3 linked regions of the Anolis sagrei genome follow. The protein of the gene in region 2 purifies or fractionates together with the protein of the main gene of each other region. This does not show direct contact. Links are inferred from orthologs where the notes say so. Each region holds a gene or a part of one and is shown on either strand. Other genes may lie near its edges. The genes, in order: EHMT2, CDYL and MIER1.

What was found.
Region 1: the proteins of CDYL (region 2) and EHMT2 purify together in Homo sapiens (affinity purification with mass spectrometry; 4 studies listed by BioGRID and IntAct, with this or other methods). This does not show direct contact. The link is inferred for Anolis sagrei from reciprocal best matches to the Homo sapiens genes CDYL and EHMT2.
Region 3: the proteins of CDYL (region 2) and MIER1 purify together in Homo sapiens (co-immunoprecipitation; 3 studies listed by BioGRID and IntAct, counting the BioPlex papers as one, with this or other methods). This does not show direct contact. The link is inferred for Anolis sagrei from reciprocal best matches to the Homo sapiens genes CDYL and MIER1.

What each region holds. Positions count from the first base shown.
Region 1 is NC_090022.1:18,398,927-18,406,213, forward strand, and holds the start of EHMT2 (histone-lysine N-methyltransferase EHMT2), read left to right. Parts: upstream 1-4,264; 5' UTR 4,265-4,316; coding exon 4,317-4,337; intron 4,338-7,287. UniProt on the Homo sapiens protein: Histone methyltransferase that specifically mono- and dimethylates 'Lys-9' of histone H3 (H3K9me1 and H3K9me2, respectively) in euchromatin.
Region 2 is NC_090024.1:86,533,042-86,541,054, reverse strand, and holds the start of CDYL (chromodomain Y-like protein), read left to right. Parts: upstream 1-5,002; 5' UTR 5,003-5,548; coding exon 5,549-5,572; intron 5,573-8,013.
Region 3 is NC_090024.1:165,101,629-165,108,707, reverse strand, and holds the start of MIER1 (mesoderm induction early response protein 1), read left to right. Parts: upstream 1-4,062; 5' UTR 4,063-4,283; coding exon 4,284-4,292; intron 4,293-7,079. UniProt on the Homo sapiens protein: Transcriptional repressor regulating the expression of a number of genes including SP1 target genes. Probably functions through recruitment of HDAC1 a histone deacetylase involved in chromatin silencing.

The sequences.
Region 1 (7,287 bases), on a different chromosome or scaffold from region 2:
GCTGTAATTTTGTTGCTTTGTTTAGACCGTGGGTGAAACATCAGTGAGGAATGGGACAAGTATTCCTGGCAGTTTGTGTATGGAAATGGCCTTCAACATTACTTTACTTACTTAGGGGATCCCTCGTAGTCCAAATATAATGGTCCTCCAAATGTAGTGTCTTGCTGATGGGTCGTAGGTGGCTGTGGAGACCTTTTCTTGATCCGCATCTTCTTCCACAGTGAGGACATTGATTTCCAGGTGGAAGGTGGTCCCAGTCAGGGTTGGCTTGACGTGCCTTCCTCTTGGCACATTTCTCCCTTTCGCCCTCAATTCGAGACTCTTCGAATTCTGCAGCACTGCTGGTCACAGCTGACCTTGAGTGTTCAAGGGCCAGGGCTTCCCAGTTCTTCGTGTCTATGCTACCGTATTTAAGGTTGGCTTTAAGACCATCTTTAAATCTCTTTTCCTATCCACCAACATTAAGTTTCCTGTTCTTGAGTTCAGAGTATTGTAACTGCTTTTGGAGATGGTGATTGGGCGTTCAGACAACGTGGCCAGTTCAACGAAGTTGATGGTGTAGAAGCATTGTTTCAATGCTGGTGGTCTTTGCTTCTTCCAGCACACTGACATTTGTCCATCTGTCTTCCCAAGAGATTTGCAGGATTTTTCGGAGGCAATGCTAATGGAATTGTTCCAAGAGTTGAGTGTGATGTCTGTAGACAGTCCACGTTTCGCAGGTATATAGCAGGGTTGGGAGGACAATCTATATATATAAAAATGCTCTGTGCGTAATGAGTACCTTAAAAACAAAAGAACCAATGAACGAAATAACACCAAATTTGGCAACAAAACATCTCACAACACAAGGAGTGACCATCACTCAAAAATTATGATTTTGTCATTTGGGAGTTGTAGTTGCTGGGATTTATAGTCCACCTATAACCAAAGAGCATTCTGAACTCCATCAACGATTGAATTGAACCAAATTTGGCACACAGGACTCCCCTGGCCAACAGAAAACACTAGAAGGGTTTGCTGGGCATTGACCTTGAGTTTTGGAATTGTAGTTCACCTACATCCAGAGAGCACTGTGGACTCAAACAATGATGAATCTGGACCAAATTTGGCACGAATATTCAATATAAACACAGATGGAGTTTGGGGAAAATAGACCTTGACATTTGGGAGTTGTAGTTACTGGGATTTATAGTTCACCTACAATCAAAGAGCATTCTGAATACCACCAATGACAGAATTGGGACAAACTTCCCACACAGAACCCCCATGGCCAACAGCGTTTTCTGGTGGTCACAAAAAGGGAGGAGAAAGAGGAGGCCATCCTTCCTATGGAGGGAATTAAACCTGGAGGTTTGATGCGCCCAATAAAGAGCCCCCTGAACACCTGTGTCTAAACATGTTGGACAGAGACACGTGTTTCCCAAGGAAGGGGCCTTGTCTGGGGGGGAGGGGGAATAAGGAAAGGGATCCCCAATGAGTCTCACTTTACTTTGGATGTCCAGTCAAGCAGCGAAGCTTGCTTTTTCCCTCTCTCCTTGAAAATGGTCCTTCCTACCCACTGGTTCTGCATCCACAACTTGCTGATAGGAAGACAAAAGCTGCTGAGCTTGTTGACTGAAAGGTCACAGGTTCAAATCCGGGGAGTGGCTTGAGCTTCCGTTGTCAGCCCCAGCTTCTGCCAACCTAGCAGTTTGAAAACATGCAAATGTGAGTAGATCAATAGGTACCGCTCCGGCGGGAAGGTAACAGCACTCCATGTAGTCATGCCGGCACATGACCTTGGAGGTGTCTATGGACAACGCTGGCTCTTTGGCTTAGAAATGGAGATGAGCACCAACCCCCAGAGTCAGACACGACTGGACTTCAAGTCTGGGGAAAACCTTTACCTTTACCTGTGTATATAATGGGGAAAAGATTAATAAATGTTTCCTGGGGACAGGAGCTGTTTGATAGTGAAATATGCTGCTGCCTTGGGGTGTAGAGGAGTCTCCTTCCCTGAAGGGTTTTAAGCAGATGCTGGGTGGTCATCTGTCAGGAGTGCTTTGATTGTGTATTCCTGCATGGCAGAATGGGGTTGGGCTGGTTGGATCTTGGGGTCTCTTTCAATTCTAGGATTCTTTGATTCTAAGAGAGTTCTGTCATCTACACTGTAGAACGAATGCAGTTTAATACTACTTTAACTATGTTATGGAATCACGGGATTCATAGTTTGGTGAGGGCTGGAACTAGTTAACAGAAGAAGGCGAAAGACCTTGGAAACCTACAACTCCTAGGATCCCACAGTAATTCAAGTGGCGACAGAGTGACTCCTGAAATGCAGAGAAGACTAAAGATCTCATGAAACTACAACTCCCATGGTTCCATAGCATTGGGCCATGCATAGCAGATCCAGTGAGGTCAAACGGAACAACTTCTTTAACTATGCTATGGAATAATGGGATTTATAGTTTGGTGAGGCTCCAGAACTAGTAGACAGAAGAAAGCAAAAGACCTTGGAAAAGTACAACTCCTAGGGATCCCATAGCAATTCAAGAGGTGACAGAGTGAATCCTGAGATGCAGATAAGACTAAACACTTTGTGAAACTAAAACTCCCAGTGTCCCATAGCATTGGCAGATCCAGTGGGATCAAACGGCACGGCTTCTTTAACTATGCTATGGAATCATGGGATTTATAGTTTGGTGAGGGTCCAGAACTAGTTGACAGAAGAAGGCTAAAGACCTTCGAAAACTACAGCTCCTAGGATCCCATAGCAATTCAAGTGGCAACAGAGTGAATCATGAGATGCAGAGAAGACCTTGTGAAACTACAACTCTCAGGGTCCCATAGCATTGGCAGATCCAGTGGGGTCAAACGGAACAACTTCTTTAACTATGCTACGGAATCATGGAATTTATAGTTTGGTGAGTCTCCAGAACTAGTTGACAGAAGGCTAAAGACCTTCGAAAACTACAATTCCTAGGATCCCACAGTAATTCAAGTGGCAACAGAGTGAATCATGACATGCAGAGAAGACTAAAAACCTTATGAAACTACAACTCTCAGGGTCCCATAGCATTGGCAGATCCAGTGGGGTCAAACGGTACTATGCTATGGAGTCGCGGGATTTATAGTTTGGTGAGTGCTAGAATTAGTTGACAGAAGAAAGCAAAAGACCTTGGAAAACTACAACTCCTAGGATCCCATAGCAATTCAAGTGGCAACAGAGTAAATCCTGAGATGCAGAGAAGACTAAAGACCTTGTGAAACTACAACTCCTAGTGTCCCATAGCATTAGCAGATCCAGTGGGGTCAAACGGCACGGCTTCTTTAACTTTGCTGTGGAATCATGGAATTTATAGTTTGGTGAGGCTCCAGAACTAGTTGACAGAAGGCTAAAGACCTTCGAAAACTACAACTCCTAGGATCCCATAGCAATTCAAGTGGCAACAGAGTGAATCATGAGATGTAGAGAAGACTAAAGACCTTGTGAAACTACAACTCCCAGTGTCCCATAGCATTGGCAGATCCAGTGGGGTCAAACGGCACGGCTTCTTTAACTATGCTATGGAATCACGGGATTTATAGTTTGGTGAGTGCTAGAATTAGTTGACAGAAGAAAGCAAAAGACCTTGGAAAACTACAACTCCTAGGGAACCCATAGCAATTCAAGTGGCGACAGAGTGAATCCTGAGATGCAGAGAAGACTAAAGACCTTGTGAAACTACAACTCCCAGTTTCTCATAGCATTAGCAGATCCAGTGGGGTCAAACGGTAGTATGCTATGGAGTCGCGGGATTTATAGTTTGGTGAGTGCTAGAATTAGTTGACAGAAGAAAGCAAAAGACCTTGTGAAACTACAACTCTCAGGGTCCCATAGCATTGGCAGAGCCAGTGGGGTCAAACGGCACGGCTTCTTTATGCTATGGAATCGCGGGATTTATAGTTTGGTGAGGGCTAGAATTAGTTGACAGAAGAAAGCAAAAGATCTTGGAAAACTACAACTCCTAGGGATCCCATAGCAATTCAGGTGGCGACAGAGTGAATCCTGAGATGCAGAGAAGAGTAAAGACCTTGTGAAACTACAACCCCCAGGGTCCCATAGCACTGGGCCATGCATGGCATGACTGTATAGAATGCACCCTGAGCCAGCCTTGGCCTCCTCCCCTTTTGTTGTCCTTGCTCTTTGTCTGAGCGCCAGGGAATCAAGCTGTGCTGCCCCTTTAAGAGATTTCCTCCTCCTCCTCTTTCCCTCCTCCTCCCCTTGCCTCGCTCGTGACGTCAGTGCGGGGCCGGGTCTGTTGCTGCTGCTGCTGCTGCTGCTTGGGCGCGAGGCCATGGAGGCTGCAAGCGCGGAGGTTTGGGGCTTCCGTGGCTAATGGCGGGAGATCGGTGGGGCGATGCAGAGAGAGGGGAAGGGGAAATAATCCCGAGGGTGGAAAGAGGAAGGGGCCCCGGTTTCCTCCCGTACTCATTGCATGTGGCCTTTGATTTTTGGGGAGCCACATGGGAGGGGCTTGGGTTTGCAAAGGAAATGCAAAAGAAATGTTTTGTGTGGGATGGAGGGGAAGGAGCTGTGCATGGGAGAAGCGGTAGTGTCTTGGAAATTTGGAAGTGCAGTCAAGGAAGGAAGATTCCCCACTGTTCCCAGATTGCATTGAGAGAATCATAGAGTTGGAAGAAGGACCCCAAGGGCTCTCCAGTCCAACCCCATTCTGCAATATAGAGCCAATAACTTTGGGACCTTGTCAGAAAAATCTCACAAATACTCCTTTTTTTCCTATTTTATGGACTTACAGATTCATAGTTGGGAGAGACCCCAAGGACAATCCAGTCTCACCCCATTCTTCCAGGCAGAAAGACACTATCAAAGTCCTCCTAGAATAATAGAATCAAAGAGTTGGAAGAGACCTCATGGGCCATCCAGTCCAACCCCCTGCCAAGAAGCAGAATATTGCATTCAAATCACCCCTGACAGATGGCCATCCAACCTCTGTTTAAAAGCTTCCAAAGAAGGAACCTCCACCACACTCCAGGGCAGAGAGTTCCACTGCTGAACGGCTCTCACAGTCAGGAAGTTCTTCCTCATGTTCAGACAGAATCTCCTCTCTTGTAGTTTGAAGCCGTTGTTCCGCATCCTAGTCTCCAAGGAAGCAGAAAACAAGCTTGCTCCCTCCTCCCTGTGGCTTCCTCTCACATATTTATACATGGCTATCATATCCCCTCTCAGCCTTCTCTTCTTCAGGCTAAACATGCCCAGCTCCTTAAGCCGCTCCTCATAGGGCTTGTTCTCCAGACCCTTGATCATTTTAGTCGCCCTCCTCTGGACACATTCCAGCTTGTCAATATCTCTCTTCAATTGTGGTGCCCAGAATTGGACACAATATTCCAGATGTGGTCTAACCAAAGCAGAATAGAGGGGTAGCATTACTTCCTGACAGATGACCACCCAGCCCCAGGTGAAGAACCACCAAAGAAGGAGACCCCACTAAGGGCCCTTCCACACAGCCCTATATCCCATAATATCAAGGCAGGAAATCTGCTTTGAGCTGGGTTATCTGAGTCTACACTGCCATATATTCCAGTTCAGAGCATAAAATGTGGGATTCTGTGTTATATGGCTGTGTGGAAGGGCCCTAAGCTCCAAGGCAGGATATTTCACTGCCCAACAACTCTTACCATCAGGAAGTTCTTTCTAATGTTTGGGTGCAATCTTTTTTCCCTGTAGTTTGAATCCATTGGTGCATTGTGTCCTAGTTTCCAGAGCAGCAGAAAACAAGTTTTCTCAATGGGACATTGTTTCAAGCATTTAAACAGGGATATCATGCCAATACTTCTTTTGATTTTCAATCTGGACAGTAAATGATGTTAAGATCACAAGTATCCTCCAGAAGGATGTACACAAACATTCATGTAGAGTTTCTAAGCATTTCCTGATAGAACAGTGTTTCTCAACCTAAAGGTCAGGACCTGGGGGGGGGGGGGGGGGAGTCGCGAGGGGGTGCCAGAGGGGTCTCCAAAGACCATCAGAAAACACAGTATTTTCTGGGTTGTTGTAGGTTTTTCAGGCTATATGGCCTTATTCTAGAAGCATTCTCTCCAGACATATCGTCTGCATCTATGACAGACATCCTCAGAGGTTGTGAGGACACAGTCCAGCCCGAAATAAATAAACAAGCGAAATAAATAAAGAAATCTGTGGATATGGAAGACCGACTATACTTGTATACCCGAATGGACCCTAGACCTTAATTTTAGATATTCAGTTGAGAGGAAAGGGCAAACATATAACACATAAACAATAAGATGTGAGATTCCCAATTGTTTTCAATAACTGCAAACCCAATTTCAATCTACATCAGGCATGGCCAAACTCTGGCCCTCCAGGTGTTTTGGACTTCAACTCCCACAATTCCTAGCAGCCTACCGGAGTTGGCCCATGCCTGGTGTAAATGCACCCCTTTTCTTCTTGAGTCTGCATAAGAGAAGTGGGCGGGGCTTACACCTTTGGCAATAGGCCACACCTCTTCTAGATGGGAGCTCCTTGATTAGAACTGGGTTGCACTTGGCTAGTTCTTGCCTCCAAATGGGTCGGAATTACTCCAAATGGGTCAGTTTATAGGAAAAACAGAGCAGGAAGAAGCAGGGGGGGAAAGATGCCCAAGAGGCAAGAAGATTATTTATTATTATTACCATTATTTTTGTTATTAGTATCAGTCTTATTGTGAAGTATGTCAGAAGAGGGTTGTCTGAAAGCTCTGGAGGGTTGAACTTGCTTTCAATTGTTTAAATAGCCAAGATTCAGATGTGGTTTGCCCATAGAAAGGTGTTTCCTGAATTTGGATTAAGGTTCTCTTAGGTATTGGCAGTTGTATGCTGTTGTCTATTTACTGTATTTTCAACCTTTGATACCTCTGGGCAGCACAATTGAAGGGAGATGTTGACAAGCTGGAATGTGTCCAGAGGAGGGCGACTCAAATGATCAAGGGGCTGGAGAACAAGCCCTAAGAGGAGCGGCTTAAAGAGCTGGGCATGTTTAGCCTGCAGAAGAGAAGGCTGAGAGGAGACATGATGAGGGCCATGTATAAATATGAGGGGAAGTCATAGGGAGGAGGGAGCAATCTTGTTTTCTGCTCCCCTGGAGACTAGGACATTGGACAATGGCTTCAAACTATAAGAAAGGAGATTCCACCTGAACATTAGGAAGAACTTCCTGACTGTAAGAGCTGTTCAGCAGTGGAACTCTCTGCCCCGGAGTGTGGTGGAGGCTCCTTCTTTGGAGGCTTTTAAGCAGAGGCTGGATGGCTA
Region 2 (8,013 bases):
TTTTATTCAACTGTGTGAAAGGGGCCTAGATCACAAGTAGTACTTCTGTAGTGTAACACTTTAGATGAAGAAAGTGATGATAACATAAAGTGTTCACAAGTATGGTATTAAGAGATGGCAGAAAACTGGGAGAGAGCTAGCAAGTTGATTGGATAGTGCACAACAATGAATACAATCAAAATCTGGAAATATAAAATGTGATACGCTGCAGAGAAATGATAACAAACTTTATGTAACTTTGGCTATGTAGTCTTGCAAGTCACCGGGAATTTTTGTTTCCAATAGGTTATACAGAGATGTTCTAGTTTTAGTAAATATAAAGATTGTGCTATGAGAACACTGCTAGTGGACTTGATCACAACATGGAACTCTACTTGTATAATGCTAGATATTTTCATGCTACATATATTGTTGATCTAATTTACGTTCCTTGTTGAGAAACCTCTCCTGAACTTTTCTTTATTAGAGTGGAACTTGATTGAGAATGCCATTAGAGCACTAGTTTTGATAAAATAATTGATATTTCATAATGCTAATGTGTTGAATAGTTTGAATATTTCTGACAGTCATCCAGGATATACTTCAGTGTTTAAAGCAACATAGGTAACTTAAGAGAGGATGAGCACATGAAACCTCAAAAAAAGAAAAGAAAGCATCTGCTTTTGATATCATTGTTGAATGCTCAATCTGAGTGTATCTCATAATCTCAAGACATTTCGTACAAAAGACAATATTGGTCAACCAAACTGTTTTACCAAGAAAGAATATATATATATATATATATATATATATATATATATATATATATATATCCCTTTTTGGGCAAAGGTTTTTTTTTTCTCTAACCATAATTTATAACCCAGAAATAGTCAATGAAACTTCTGAAATGTCTGCATCTTCTACAAGAGTCATAGCTAAGACTGACCATGCAAAATGAAACTGAATATACAATAATGAGCAAAATTACGACTTTGGTGATTCACCTGTTAGGAAACAAATTCACTACTTCCCAGTCTGACATAAACCAAAAAAAAAAAAAACCCCTACTTTGTAATCCATCCATTTAAATCTCTTCTGAGAACATATTCAGTGCTGCAGAAATTGGTGTCAATAAGCTTTGCCCATCCATGGATTCTGCAAATGTAAACAACCTACAGTACTTTGTTTTAAAATCCTAGCTGCAGAAGAAGTGAAGTAATCCTGAGATGCATTTTGTCTTGTTCGATGTTCCCATACTCTACAAATCTGAAAATCAGTTCTTTGTATTTTCTTTCCAGGTAAACATACTTTCATTTTTTTGTAAATTGACTTCCTTCTTAAAATCCTGATTTTAGGTGTATGAGAAATTATGATACATTAACTTTATATTGTCTGAGTATTTTTGAATGTATGTCAAACATCACTTGATGCTGCTGTCCATAGTTGACTGGGTCTTGATTCTGTAACTATATTTTGCCCTGAGAGGAAGCCACACTTTAGAGGAAATATTTAATTAATTTTATTCTGCTGGATCTGAAGACATTTTCTAGGAAGCCATTCATGAATTTTCCTGCTGTTGTATGAATTTCTTCTTGCTCAAATTGTCTGCTAGCATTTTGTTTCTGTGACAATAAATCCCTACATAGCCAATTGATATTTTGATAAATTGATAAAATAACTCAGGAATTTAGTAAAACAAAATTGGTAAATAGGCAAAGGTGAAAGAAGAAAACGCAAAAGCTGGGTTGCAGTTAGACATAAAAAAAACCAAGATTATGGCAACAAGAATGATTGACAACTGGGATATACAGGGGGGAAACGTAGAGGCAGTGACAGACTTTGTATTTCTAGGTGCAAAGATTACTGCAGACGCAGACTGCAGCCAGGAAATCAGGAGATGCTTACTTCTTGGGAAGAGAGCAATGACCAATCTTGATAAAATAGTGAAGAGTAGAGACATCACACTGGCAACAAAGATCCGCATAGTTAAAGCAATGGTATTCTCCATAGTCACCTACGGATGTGAGAGCTGGACCATAGGGAAGGCTGAGCGAAGGAAGACAGATGCTTTTGAACTGTGGTGTTGGAGGAAAGTTTTGAGAGTGTCTTGGACAGCAAGAACATCCAACCAGTCCATACGTCAGGAAATAAAGCCTGACTGGTCATTGGAGGGAAGGATATTAGAGACAAAGCTGAAGTATTTTGACCACATCATGAGGAGACAGGAAAGCTTAGAGAAGATAATTATGCTGGGGAAAATTGAAGGAAAAAGGAAGAGGGGCCGACCAAGGGCAAGATGGATGGATGGGATCCTTGAAGTGACTGGATTGACCTTGAAGGAGCTGGGGGTGGTGACGGCAGACAGGGAGCTCTGGCGTAAGCTGGTCCATGAGGTCACGAAGAGTTGGAAACGACTGAACGAATGAACAACAACAACAAATAGGCAAAGATGTGGACAGACGGAAACTAAGGATGAATGGGTCATAAAATAAATGGGAGTGGATGGACAGTGGAAGAGATCAGGAAGCACAATAAAATAGAAATAGGTGAAAGCAATAAAGGTAAAGATGAATGAGAAGACTAATCGGGAAAACTAAAAAAGGTGTTGAGTAGGGAATACTTCTAAGGTTACTAATAATGGAAATGCTAGATTGATGAACTGATAGAGATAATTGGATATGTAGAAGTTTAATGGAGGGAAAAGGAGTACAGGATGAAATATAAAAATTTTGGGAGATTGCAAATGGATGGGAATGACAGTCTGAATGTGCAAAATCCAAGTAGCCAGGGAGACCATATGGATGGTCAAGGCAAAGGGACAGGATAGTAAATGAAGCATGTAAACAACTGTTGATGCATTGATGGAGAGAATAAAGATAGTGAAATAGAACCTGTGAGAGATAAAACCATGAAATGTGAGAAAGCTAGGCAAATGAGAAATTTGAAATGGAAAAAAGGACAGGCAAATAAACAGATGGAAAGGATGAACTTATGCTGGTCACCATTTGCCAGAGATGGATTAGGATGGATCCAAGCTGGATCGGAGGAATTGAAAGGCAGGTTTAAAAGGAGAGGCTGAGCAAGAGGAAACATGGAGATGAGATATGAGTGTTAAATGATAGTGAAATGGACAAAGACCAGGCAGGAGAGGATGAGGAAGAAGAGGAGACATGGAGATGAGATATAAGTGTTAAATGATGGTGAAATGGATGAAGACCAGGCAGGAGAAAATGAGGAAGAAGCGGAGACATGGAGATGAGAAATGATGGTGAAATAGATGAAGACCAGGCTGGAGAAGATGGGGGGAAAGAGGATACATAGAGGTGTTAATGATGGTGAAGTGGATGGAGATCAGGAGGGAGAGGATGAGGAAGAAGAAGAAACATGGAGATTAGAAATGAATGTTAAATGATGGCAAAATGGATGAAGACAAGGAAGGAAAGGATGGAGAAGAAGAGGAGAAATGGAGATGAGAAATGATGGTGAAATGGATGAAGACCAGGCAGGAGAAGATGGGGAAGATTATACATAGAGGTGTTAACAATGGTGAAGTTGATGGAAACCAGGAGGGAGAGGATGAGGAAGAAGAAGAGACATGGAGATGCAAAATTAGTGTTAAATAATGGTGAAATATATGACGACCTGGAATGAAAGGATCGGGAAGAAGGGGAGAAATGGAGATGAGAAATGATGGTGAAATGGATAGAGACTAGGAAGGAGAGGATGATGAAGAAGGGGAGAAATGGAGATGAGAAAAGATGGTAAAACGGATGAAGACCAGGAAGAAGATGAGGAAGAGACATGGAGATGAGAAATTAGTATTAATTAATGGTGGAATGGAGGAAGAAGAGGAGACATGGAGATGGGAAATGTTGATGAAATGGATGAAGACCAGGAAGGAGAAGATGAGGAAGAAGAGACATGGAAATGAGAAATGATGGTAAAATGAATGAAGACCAGGAAGAAGATAAGGAAAAAGAGACACAGAGATGAGAAATTAGTGTTAATTAATGGTGGAATGGAGGAAAAAGAGGAGACATGGAAATGGGAAATGTTGATGAAATGGATGAAGACCAGGCAGGAGAAGATGAGGAAGAAGAGGCGACATGGAGATGAAAAATTAGTGTTAATTAATGGAGGAAGAAGAGGAGACATGGAGATGGGAAATGTTGATGAAATGGATTAAGACCAGGAAGGAGAAGATGAGGAAGAAGAGATGACATGGAGATGAAAAATTAGTGTTAATTAATGGAGGAAGATGAGGAGACATGGAGATGGGAAATGTTGATGAAATGGATGAAGACCAGGCAGGAGAAGAAGAGGCGACATGGAGATGAGAAATTAGTGTTAATTAATGGAGGAGGAAGAGGAGACATGGAGATGGGGAATGTTGATGAAATGGATGAAAACCAGGCAGGAGAAAATGAGGAAGAAGAGGCGACATGGAGATAAGAAATTAGTGTTAATTAATGGTGGAATGGAAGAAGAAGAGGAGACATGGAGATGGGAAATGTTGATGAAATGGATGAAAACCAGGAAGGAGAAGAAGACCAGGAAGGAGAACATGGAGATAGACCAAGAAGAGGTGACATGGAGATAAGAAATTAGTGTTAATTAATGGTGGAATGGAAGAAGAAAAAGAGACATGGAGATGGGAAATGTTGATGAAATGGATGAAGACCAGGCAGGAGAAGATGAGGAAGAAGAGGAGATGAGAAATGCTGGTGAAATGGTGAAGGACATCAAGTTGGGCCACCAATGGAAGAAGAAGGTTAGCCAATGGGGACTTGAAGGAATGGTGGCCAAGCATGCCTGGGAGGTGGGTCCAGTTGCCCCTTGAGAAGAAGTTTGGGAAGCCCCATTTTCCTTGGCCAATGGGGGCCCAGCCCTTCCTTCCAACATGGCTGCCAGGCTCCACCACTTCCTCCCACGAGGCGCAGGGTGGCCTCGCCCCCCCCTCCTCCTGGCGCCCCTCCTCCCTATTTCCTTGGTGGCTCCTCCCCTTTTTCCCCTCCCGGCGGCCATTGGCCCAATCGCGGCCGCCCCCTCGCGCCGCCGCTCAGCTGAGGAGACAATGGGCGATCAAAGGAGGGGAGGGGGAGGAGGAAGAGGAGGAGGAGGAAGAAGAAGAGGAGGAGGGTGGCGGTGCTGCTAGAGCCGTGGGGCGCGAGCTCGGCGCTCGATTGGCCAGCCTAGAAGGAAGGAGGGAAGGAAGGAAGGAGCCAGGCACCGAGGAGGAGGAGGAGGAGAGGGATCGTCGCCTCTTCCTCCCTTTCCAGCGAGAGTGAGTGCGAGTGTGAGTGCGGGAGGGAGCTGAGGGAGCCCCACTGCGCAGCTTGTTCTGCGCACGAGCACCACCACCACAAGGAGCAGCAGCCGAGGCAGCACCAGAGGGAGAAGGACGGCGAGGAAGAGGAGAGCGGCACCTCGGGCTGAAGAGGAGGAGGAGGAGGAGCGCCGTGGCGAGCGAGGAGTGGGAGCCGAGGCCCCACCTCCCTCCCTCCCTCTTCCCCTCAAGTGAGACAAAAGTCTCTCCAAACCCGCGCCCAACTCCTCCACCTTGGGAGGCATGGCTTCCGAGGAACTCTATGAGGTAACAGCCTTGCCGCCTGCTTTCGGGCCCCTCTCTCTCCCTTCCCCCTCCCTTCCCCCTCTCCCTCGGCCTAGGTGCGTGTGCTGCTTGTGTGCTTCCAAATTACGCCCCTCTCTGGGCGCCCTCCCCCAGTTTGCTCTCTCTCTCTCTCTTTCTTTCAGGGAGGAGGACGGAAATAGGACTGGAGGAGGAGGAGGAGGCGGCGGCAAAGTGCTGCCCGTTGGCTTCCTCTGCCACTCTTCTTCTTCTAATCCAACTCCACAGCCAGCCAGCCCAAGCCTTCCTCTCCTCCTCCTCCTCCTCTTCTGGTCTCGCCACGAGGAGAAGGTGGTGGCCAAGCCAAGAGGCGCTGACAGCCCTCGCTCTCGCACTCTTCTTTCTTTTCTTTTTTTTGCACACCAAAGTCGGTTGTGTGCACAAAATAAGGGGCGTGTGTGCGTGCCAAAGCAAGCCCTGTCCTCTACTGGGAGGGCAAGAAGGACAGCTCTCTCTATTTCTCCCCCCTCCCCCCAATCCCCACTCTTGTTGGATCTCCATTTCTGACCCCCTTCTAGAGTGGATGCAAAACACAACACCCAACTGAGGCGCCTCCACATCCTAAGTTTTGGATTGGTGTTTTGTCCCTCTTCCCCCAAAGTGTACTTGAGACGTCAACGTCATTGCTTTCCCCTCCTCCGCTCTTGAGAAATGGCTGAACTACTGAGTGGCATCCATTGGGGTCTTCTCTCTCTCTGGCTGAGAAGGAGGTGACTCTTTCTTTGATTTCCGGTCTTCTGTGGGCAGTTTCCTATCCCTCATGCCTTCAGGAGCACGTTGGGATTCCTCTTGGATGTAACTTCCTGGTTTGGAGATTTCACCAAGGGATGGAAGAGCCATGAGAAGCATGCTTGGCCATAGTTTTCTTGACCTTTCTGCAAGTACAGTAGTACAACCCCTGTATCCACAACAACCACTAATCCTATGTTTTGATAATACTTGTATTGGTAGAATGCCATAGAACAGCACTCAAGGATCTAGAGCAGTGGTTCTCAACCTCTGAAGTTCTCACAAACTCTGAGGACGCCAGGAGAGCAAGCTTATGAAACATGGCCATGCTCCCCCCCCCCCATCTGCTCTTGAGAAATGGCTGAACCACTGAGTGGCATCCATTGGGGTCTTCTCTCTCTCTGGCTGAGAAGGAGGTGACTTCTTTCTTTGATTTCCGGTCTACTGTGGCCAGTTTCCTATCCCTCATGCCTTCAGGAGCACGTTGGGATTCCTCTTGGATGTAACTTCCTGGTTTGGAGATTTCACCAAGGGATGGAAGAGCCATGAGAAGCATGCTTAGCCATAATTTTCTTGACCCTTGTTCAAGTACAGTGCAACCCCTGTATCCACAGGGGATGCCTTCCAAGACCCACATGGATACTCAAAATCATGAACAACCACTGATCCTATGTTTTGATAATACTTGCATTGGAAGAATGCCATAGAACAGCACTCAAGGATCTAGAGCAGTGGTTCTCAACCTCTGGGGTTCTCACAAACTCCGAGGATACCTGCCATAGACGTCAGGAGAAAAAGCTTCTGAAACATGGCCATGCTTCCCCCCCCCCCTTCACTCTTGACAAATGTCTGAACCACTGAGTGGCATCCATTGGGGTCTTCTCCCTCTCTGGCTGAGAAGAAGGTGACTCCTCTTTCTTTGATTTCCGGACTTCTGTGGGCAGTTTCCTATCCTTCATGCCTTCAGGAGCACGTTGGGATTTCTTTTGGATGTAACTTCCTGGTTTGGAGATGTCACCAAGGGATGGAAGAGCCATGAGAAGCATGCTTAGCCATAGTTTTCTTGACCTTTCTGCAAGTACAGTGCAACCCCTGTATCCACAGGGGATGCCTTCCAAGACCCACATGGATACTCAAAATCACGAACAACCACTGATCCTATGTTTTGATAATACTTGCATTGGAAGAATTCCATAGAACAGCACTCAAGGATCTAGAGCAGTGGTTCTCAACCTCTGAGGTTCTCACAACCTCTGAGGATGCCTGCCATAGACGTCAGGAGAGAAAGCTTCTGAAACATGGCCATACAGCCCTGAAAACCCACAGCCACCCGGTTCTGAACATGTTGGTCCTCAGATGTTTTGGGCCTTCAACTCCCAGAAATCCTAACAGTAGTAAACTGGCTGGGATCTCTGGGAGTTGTAGGCCAAACCACTGAGAACCACTGATCTAGAGGGGTCCACAAACACTTCTGGGGGATTATTTTGTTTGTTTGTTTTGAGGCATGCGTAAGTGAAGCCATGGATGTTGAAGCCATGGATAAGGAGGTTATACTGTACACATTTCAATAGGTGTCCACTGTACATCTGTGTTGTCTTAGATTGCTGAACCTGGAATCGTAGAACCATTGAAGTATCTTGAACAAAGCCTATAAAGCTTGGCCTATAATATTGAAC
Region 3 (7,079 bases), about 79 Mb from region 2:
ATGAAGATAGTGCCTGTTCCCTGTGGACAAGATTGAGAGAGAGCCAATAGACTGTTAAGTAAACCTTAAAGTACCTGTTTGTTTTCATTAATAAAGAACTTTGTTGAACCTTTAAGCAATCTAAAGACTCTGATTTAAGGAAATCCAAGGGCCTTTAACCTGAGGCAGCCCCGGCATCCCGTTGGGCACACAGAATTTAAGTCCTTTCTACAATTTTATGCACAGGCCCAGTGTGCGACAGCACATGTGGACTCGGATAACCCAGTTCAAAGTAGATATTGTGGGATTTTTTGCCTTTTATTTTATTTTTATTTATTGTGTCAGGAGCAACCAGACATTTGTATTACATTTTTAATAAAACAAACAAACAAACTGACAAAACACAAAGTTTGCGAGCTTGGTAGTTGATTAAATGTCTTTTGACCAGTAGCTGGCCACTTGGAGTGCCTCTGGTATTGCCGCAAGGAGGTATTGGCTGCTACTTCCCGGCGGATGTCAGGTGGTGCAATACCGGCTAGACAGTGTATTTTCTCCATTGGTGTAGGGCGCAGACACCTGTGATGATGCAGCATGTCTCATTAAGAGCCACATCCACTGTTTTAGCATGGTGAGATGTGTTCCACACTGGGCAAGCATACTCAGCAACAGAGTAGCATAGCGCAAGGGCAGATGCCTTCACTGTGTCTGGTTGTGATCCCCAGGTTGTGCCAGTCAGCTTTCGTTTCTAGTACCCACTTTTTGCTTGATTTTCTGCCTTGATATTCTGGGATATAGAGCTGTGTGGAAAGGTCCTTCATTGCATATAATATCCAGATGATATGCATTGAACTGGGGCCCCTTCCACACCTCTGAACAAAATCCCACATTATCTGCTTTGAGCTGGGGTATATGACAGTGTGGACTCAGATAACCTAGTTCAAAGCAGATATTGTGAGATTTTCTGCCTTGACATTCTGGGATATAGAGCTATATGGAAAGGTCCTACATTGCGTATAAAATCCAGATGATCTGCTTTGAATTGGGGTCCCTTCCACACCTCTGAACAAAATTGGGGTATATGACAGAGTGGACTCAGATAAGCCAGTTCAAAGCAGATATTGTGGGATTTTCTGCCCTGATATAATAGGTTATACTAGCTGTGCCCTGCCACGCGTTGCTGTGGCCTATAGTAAAACTTATCAAAGTTGAGGTAGATATCTGGACTATTATGAAAGAGAGGTACCTACCTATTCCTTCCCCCTTTTCCTCCCCCTTTCTCTACTTTCTTCCTTCTCTCCCTCTTTCTTTCTTTCCTTCTTTCACTACTTGGTTTCATCCTTCTCTCTTTCCTTCATTCCCTCCCCCTTTCTTCCTTTGCCTTTCTTCCCTCCCTGTTTGCTTCCTTCTTTCACTTTTGATTTCCTTTTATTTCACCACCATCATAACAATAACAATAATGCAATGCATTGCCTCTGGGACCTGACACCTCTCCCATTCCCCCTAAAAGGGTCTCATAGGAACAATAGCATCATAATAATAATAATAGAAATAACAACCTTTACCCGCCACGTGTTGCTGTGGCCAATCTTCCCTCTTTCTCTCCTTCTTTCCCTCCCTGTGTGTGTGCGGCGGCGGGGGGAGTGGGGTTGCATGTGTGTGCGGCGGTGGGGGGAGTGATGGAGCGTGGGGTTGCGTGTGTGTGTGCGGCAGCGGGGGGAGTGATGGAGCGTGGGGTTGCGTGTGTGCGTGCGGCAGGGGGTGTGTGTGTGCAGGAAGCGGCGCGGCGGGGCTTGGAGTGGGCATGGTTTCCGCAGAGGGAACGTTGGCCGGAAGGCCATGTGTGCGCGCGATGGAACTTGCGGCTGGGCGCCAATGCGCATGCTCAGTTGTTTTGCCGTTTTGTGAGTGTGTTGTGTTGTTTTTCATTTTGAGTAGATATGTTTGTACCTTGTGGGTTGTGTTATGGGCACGGGAATTTTGGTTAAGTTTCGTTGGGGGATTTTTGAGTTTTGTTGTTTTGCCGTTTTGTGAGTGTGTTGTGTTGTTTTTCATTTTGAGTAGATATGTTTGTACCTTGTGGGTTGTGTTATGGGCACGGGGATTTTGGTTAAGTTTCGTTGGGGGATTTTTGAGTTTTGTTGTTTTGCCGTTTTGTGAGTGTGTTGTTGTGTTGTTTTTCATTTTGAGTAGGTATGTTTGTACCTTGTGGGTTGTGTTATGGGCACGGGGATTTTGGTTAAGTTTCGTTGGGGGATTTTTGAGTTTTGTTGTTTTGCCGTTTTGTGAGTGTGTTGTTGTGTTGTTTTTCATTTTGAGTAGATATGTTTGTACCTTGTGGGTTGTGTTATGGGCATGGGAATTTTGGTTAAGTTTCGTTGGGGGTTTTTTGAGTTTTGTTTCCTTGTTGGATGCCCCTAACAAATTTATATATATAGATGGCTGTGTGGAAGGGCCCTGGGTTACTGAGTCCACAGTGAGATATATCCCAGTTCAAATCAGATAATGTGGGATTTTATTCAGTTACTAGCTGTCCCCTGCCACGCGTTGCTGTGGCCCAGTCTGGTGATCTGGAAAATAAAGTAATGAGAAAGTGTTGGTTTCTAATATATGTAATTCCTTTATGCTTGTGAGTAAACAGTATTTCTTGTTGTTTCTTTGTCAGTGTTGATGTGGAGAGTGTCTGGTTTGCCACCTCTGGAATATGCAACCTATCATAGTCCTTCTTTAAGGGTCTCTTTCAAATCTATGATCCTATATCTCTCTGTGTGTGAGAGAATCATATCTATCTATCTATATTTATGACTGGATGGCTCTTTGTCAGGAGGGCTCTGATTACGTTTTCTTGCCCTGGTGAAGAGAGTTGGACTGGATGGCCTTAAGTATTTTCTGTTGGTCATGGGGGTTCTGTGTGGGAAGTTTGCCCCATTTCTGTCGTTTGTGGGTTTCAGAATGCTCTTTAATTGTAGTGAACTATAAATCCCAGTAACTACAAATCCCAAATGTTAAGGTCTATTTCCTCCAAACTCCATCTGTGTTCATATTTAGGGATATGGAATTTTTGTGTCAAGTTTGGTCCAGATCCATCGTTTGAGTCCACAGTGCTCTCTGGATGTAGGTGAACTACAACTCCCAAACTCAAGGTCAATGCCCACCAAACCCTTCCAATGTGTTCTGTTGGTCATGGAAGTCCTGTATGGCATGTTTGGTTGAATTCCATCATTGGTGGAGTTCAGAATGCTCTTTGATTGTAGGTGAACTATAAATCCCAGTAAGTACAAATCCCAGATGTCAAGGTCTATTTCCTCCAAACTCCATCTGTGTTCATATTTGGGCATATGGAATATTCGTGCCAAGTTTGTTCCAGATCCATCATTTTTTGAGTCCACAGTGCTCTCTGGATGTGGGTGAACTATAATTCCCAAACTCAAGGTCAATGTCCACCAAACCCTTCCAGTTTTTTCTGTTGGTCATGGGAGCCCTGTGTGGCCCAATTCCATCCTTGGTAGAGTTCAAAATGCTCTTTGATTGTAGGTAAACTATAAATCCCAGCAACGACAATTCCCAAATGACAAAATCATTTTTTTTGAGTGGAGGACATAAATTGGACTGTTAGGTGTCTTGTGTCCAAATTTGGTGTCAATTCCCCCAGTGGTTTTTGAGTTTTGATGGTAGCACGAACTAACATGACATTTTTATTTATAGAGACTGGAAGGGGCCCCAAAGACATGGGAAACATCTGCAATCTTGCGCGCTGTTATTATTATTATTATTATTATGCAAAGGCAGGCCTGCGTGACACCTAACGAGGGGGGCACGAGCCTTGCTCTATTCTTGCCCTCAAAAAGGAGGGGGGAGGGGGGAGCGAGCGTAATTACAGTTGGAAGAATGGGAGGGGGAAAAGGGAGGAGGGTGTCGTTTCTCGAACGCAGCGCGCGCGCGGAGGTTAAAAAAAAATAAAACCCCAATCAAACAAATGGTCTCGTGACTGGTCGAAAAAGGGAGGGGGAGGAGAGAGGAGGAGGAGGAGCGCGCGGGAGAGGCGTCGTCGTCGCCGCCGCTGCCGTCGCGGGCGCGCCCACCTCCTTTGCGTGGTGACGTCGCCGGGCCTCTTCCTCCCCCTGGTGGCGCCTTCCCTCCCTCCCTCTCTCCCTCCCTCCTTCCCTAGCAGAGCTCGCCGCCTCCCAGAGACCGCTGTGACCCGCCGCTCTCGCTCCCTTCCCGTGCCACTTCCTCCTCCTCCTCCGCCGCGGCGGCGATGTGATTACCCCACTCCCGGCTCGGCCCGCCCCAGCTGCGCGGCGAATATGGCGGAGGTGAGTGAGGGAGACCCGCGGGCGTCTAGAAGGAAGGAAGGAGGGAGGGAGGGGGAGAGGGAGGAGGAGGCCGGAGGAGGAGGAGGAAGAGGAGAGAGAGGGGAGTCGGGGCCCGGCCGGGAACTTGTTGCGCGGCAGCCTCTCTGTGCAAGTTAGTTCGGCTGAAGGTCCCAAGGCCGGCCTGGGTGGCAAGCGGGGCACGACTCGAACTCGCAGCCTTCTCAGGGCCCCACTGGAACTTGGAGGGGAAGGAGGGGGAGGAAGGGGGGAGCTCTGCCTTGGGACACAGGGAAGGTAAAGGGGAAAGGACATTTTTGGATGGAATAGCGAGGGAAAAGGCTGGTATCTTGCTGCCTGGGATGATCAAATTGTCACCCAAGTTGCCCCTACCTCGCTTTTTTGGCTATTGTTGAACTTACGACAGGCATGAGCAAACTTGGGCCCTTCAGGTGTTTTGGACTTCCACTCCTCCTACCATTCCTAACAGCCTCAGGCCCCATCCTTTTCCCTCTCAGCCACTTAAGGAAGTGGCCTGAGGCTGTTAGGAATGGTGGGAGTTGAAGTCTAAAAACATCTGGAGGGCCCAAGTTTGCTCATGCCCAATCTAGGTAATATTATTATCCTTTGATTTAGGGGACTCTTTATGCTGAACCTCTTTTTTCCTCTGTTCTTTCAAGCTGATTCATTTTTTTTAAAAAAAATAGTAAAATTTTTTTGCCCAGTCTTGACTATGCACCCCTCACCATGGAGCCCCCGGTGGCGCAGTGGGTTAAACCCCTGTGCCGGCAGGACTGAAGACCGACAGGTCGCAGGTTCGAATCCGGGGAGGCGGATGAGCTCCCTCTATCAACTCCAGCTCCTCATGCGGGGACATGAGAGAATCCTCTCACAAGGATGATAAAAAATCAAATCATCCGGGCGTCCCCTGGGCAACGTCCATGCAGACAGCCAATTCTCTCACACCAGAAGCGACTTGCAGTATCTCAAGTCACTCCTGACACGACAAAAAACAAAAAAAAAACCCTCACCATATGTCAACCCATAGCCATTTGTATCACAAGTTTATTATATTGGAGTCGATTTTTACCCCGCATGAGTACACCAAGGCAAGACCCAAAGCGACTTAACACAGGTATGGATAAGTTTCGGCCCTCCAGGTGTTTTGGACTTCAACTCCCACAATTCCTAAGAGCCTACCAACTGTTTGAAATTGTGGGAGTTGAAGTCCAAAACACCTGGAGGGCTGAAATTTGTCCATACCTGTGTTAAGTCGCTTTGGGTCTTGCCTTGGTGTACTCATGCGGGGTAAAAATCGACTCCAATATAATAAACTTGTGATACAAGTGGCTATGGGTTGACATATGGTGAGAACAGCCCTCAGATAACCCAGTTCAAAGCAGATGTTGTGGGATTATATGACTGTGTGGAAGGGTCCTCACTGAGCAAAATTGAATCTTAAAGGCTGTCCAATAACTCAAGATCCAGGTGGTGAAAGATACATAAAAATATAAAGATAGTGACTGAAGACCGCTTTTGAATTTAGCAAAAAAAACAAAACCCTACATAATATATAAGTCAAAGGAAATGCGAGTTGTCCAGAGCCATACCCAACATATATCTCACAACCACAGAAGTATATGTTTCAATCACTCAAAATGGATAGTAGTATAATGTAGAAATTTGGAACACGAAAGTTGGGTGTTCTTTACTGCTGAAGGCAAAGTCTTCAAACTACCTTATATACTTATTTATAAGTTGACTTCATGTATAAGTCAGGTTCAGGTTTAGGGTTCAGAATTATGGATTTTGCTATGACCTGTGGATAATCGAAGAGTCATTTCACAGAGAGGGGAAGTGCCGTCTCCTCAAGTCCATCACTGCCATTTCCCCACCCAGGCATTCAAAAAGACTAGAAGTGATGCCAAGACAGAGAGAGTAGAGACGGCTGGTGCTTCTTTTAAGTTTTCCTGGAATAGTCTAAGCTCTTACCTTTCACCACTGTACTCAGAGAAAGAATGGTCTCTTTTTATATACAAGAGCTAAGATATAGTACTCACATTGACTCATGGGTAAGTCAGCCCAGTTTTTCTGAGTTAGTTTTTTTGACTATTTTTTTAGACCTATACATAAGTATATAGGGTAAGATTGTAAATAGTTACTCACCTAAGTTTAATTCTGGTGTTTCTCCAAGCAGTAATGCTATGTACATGGTGTCTTTATTTTGGACATTTTAAAAGTTACATGAATGTTCTATGTTGAGTCATTTCTGAAACTTTAGTGCTGTGATTAATAGATTCCCTCATCTCAGTGACTTCTTTGAAGGAGAAAATTTCATGTGTTTACAACTCAGTTGGACTCTGCATGGAGTCCCTATGCTATCCATACTTTAAATATGTGACAAAGGAAAGAGTTGAACACCTGCTTTATCCTATATATTTCATTTTTTCCAAGGTGGTTATCAGAAGCATTTTTTTTAATGATAGAATTTTCACCATGTTTATTTATGCATTTGTGATATGTATGGAATTCTGCACTTCACAGTGGATTATATAGAAGTTCTAAAAGCATAGTAAACAAAGCAATAAAATAAATACAATTAGCAGCAAAATAATTATTAAAAATAGATACTGAGAGTAAAAGGTGTTTTACTCTTAATCTTTATTTTAAATTAGTTTTGAAATGATCCTTAGATCAAAACAACATGGGCAAGAAAACTCAACACACCAAAACAACTAGACATTATAGTATCAGGATGCCACAATGGAAGAGGCAATAATAAACAACTTT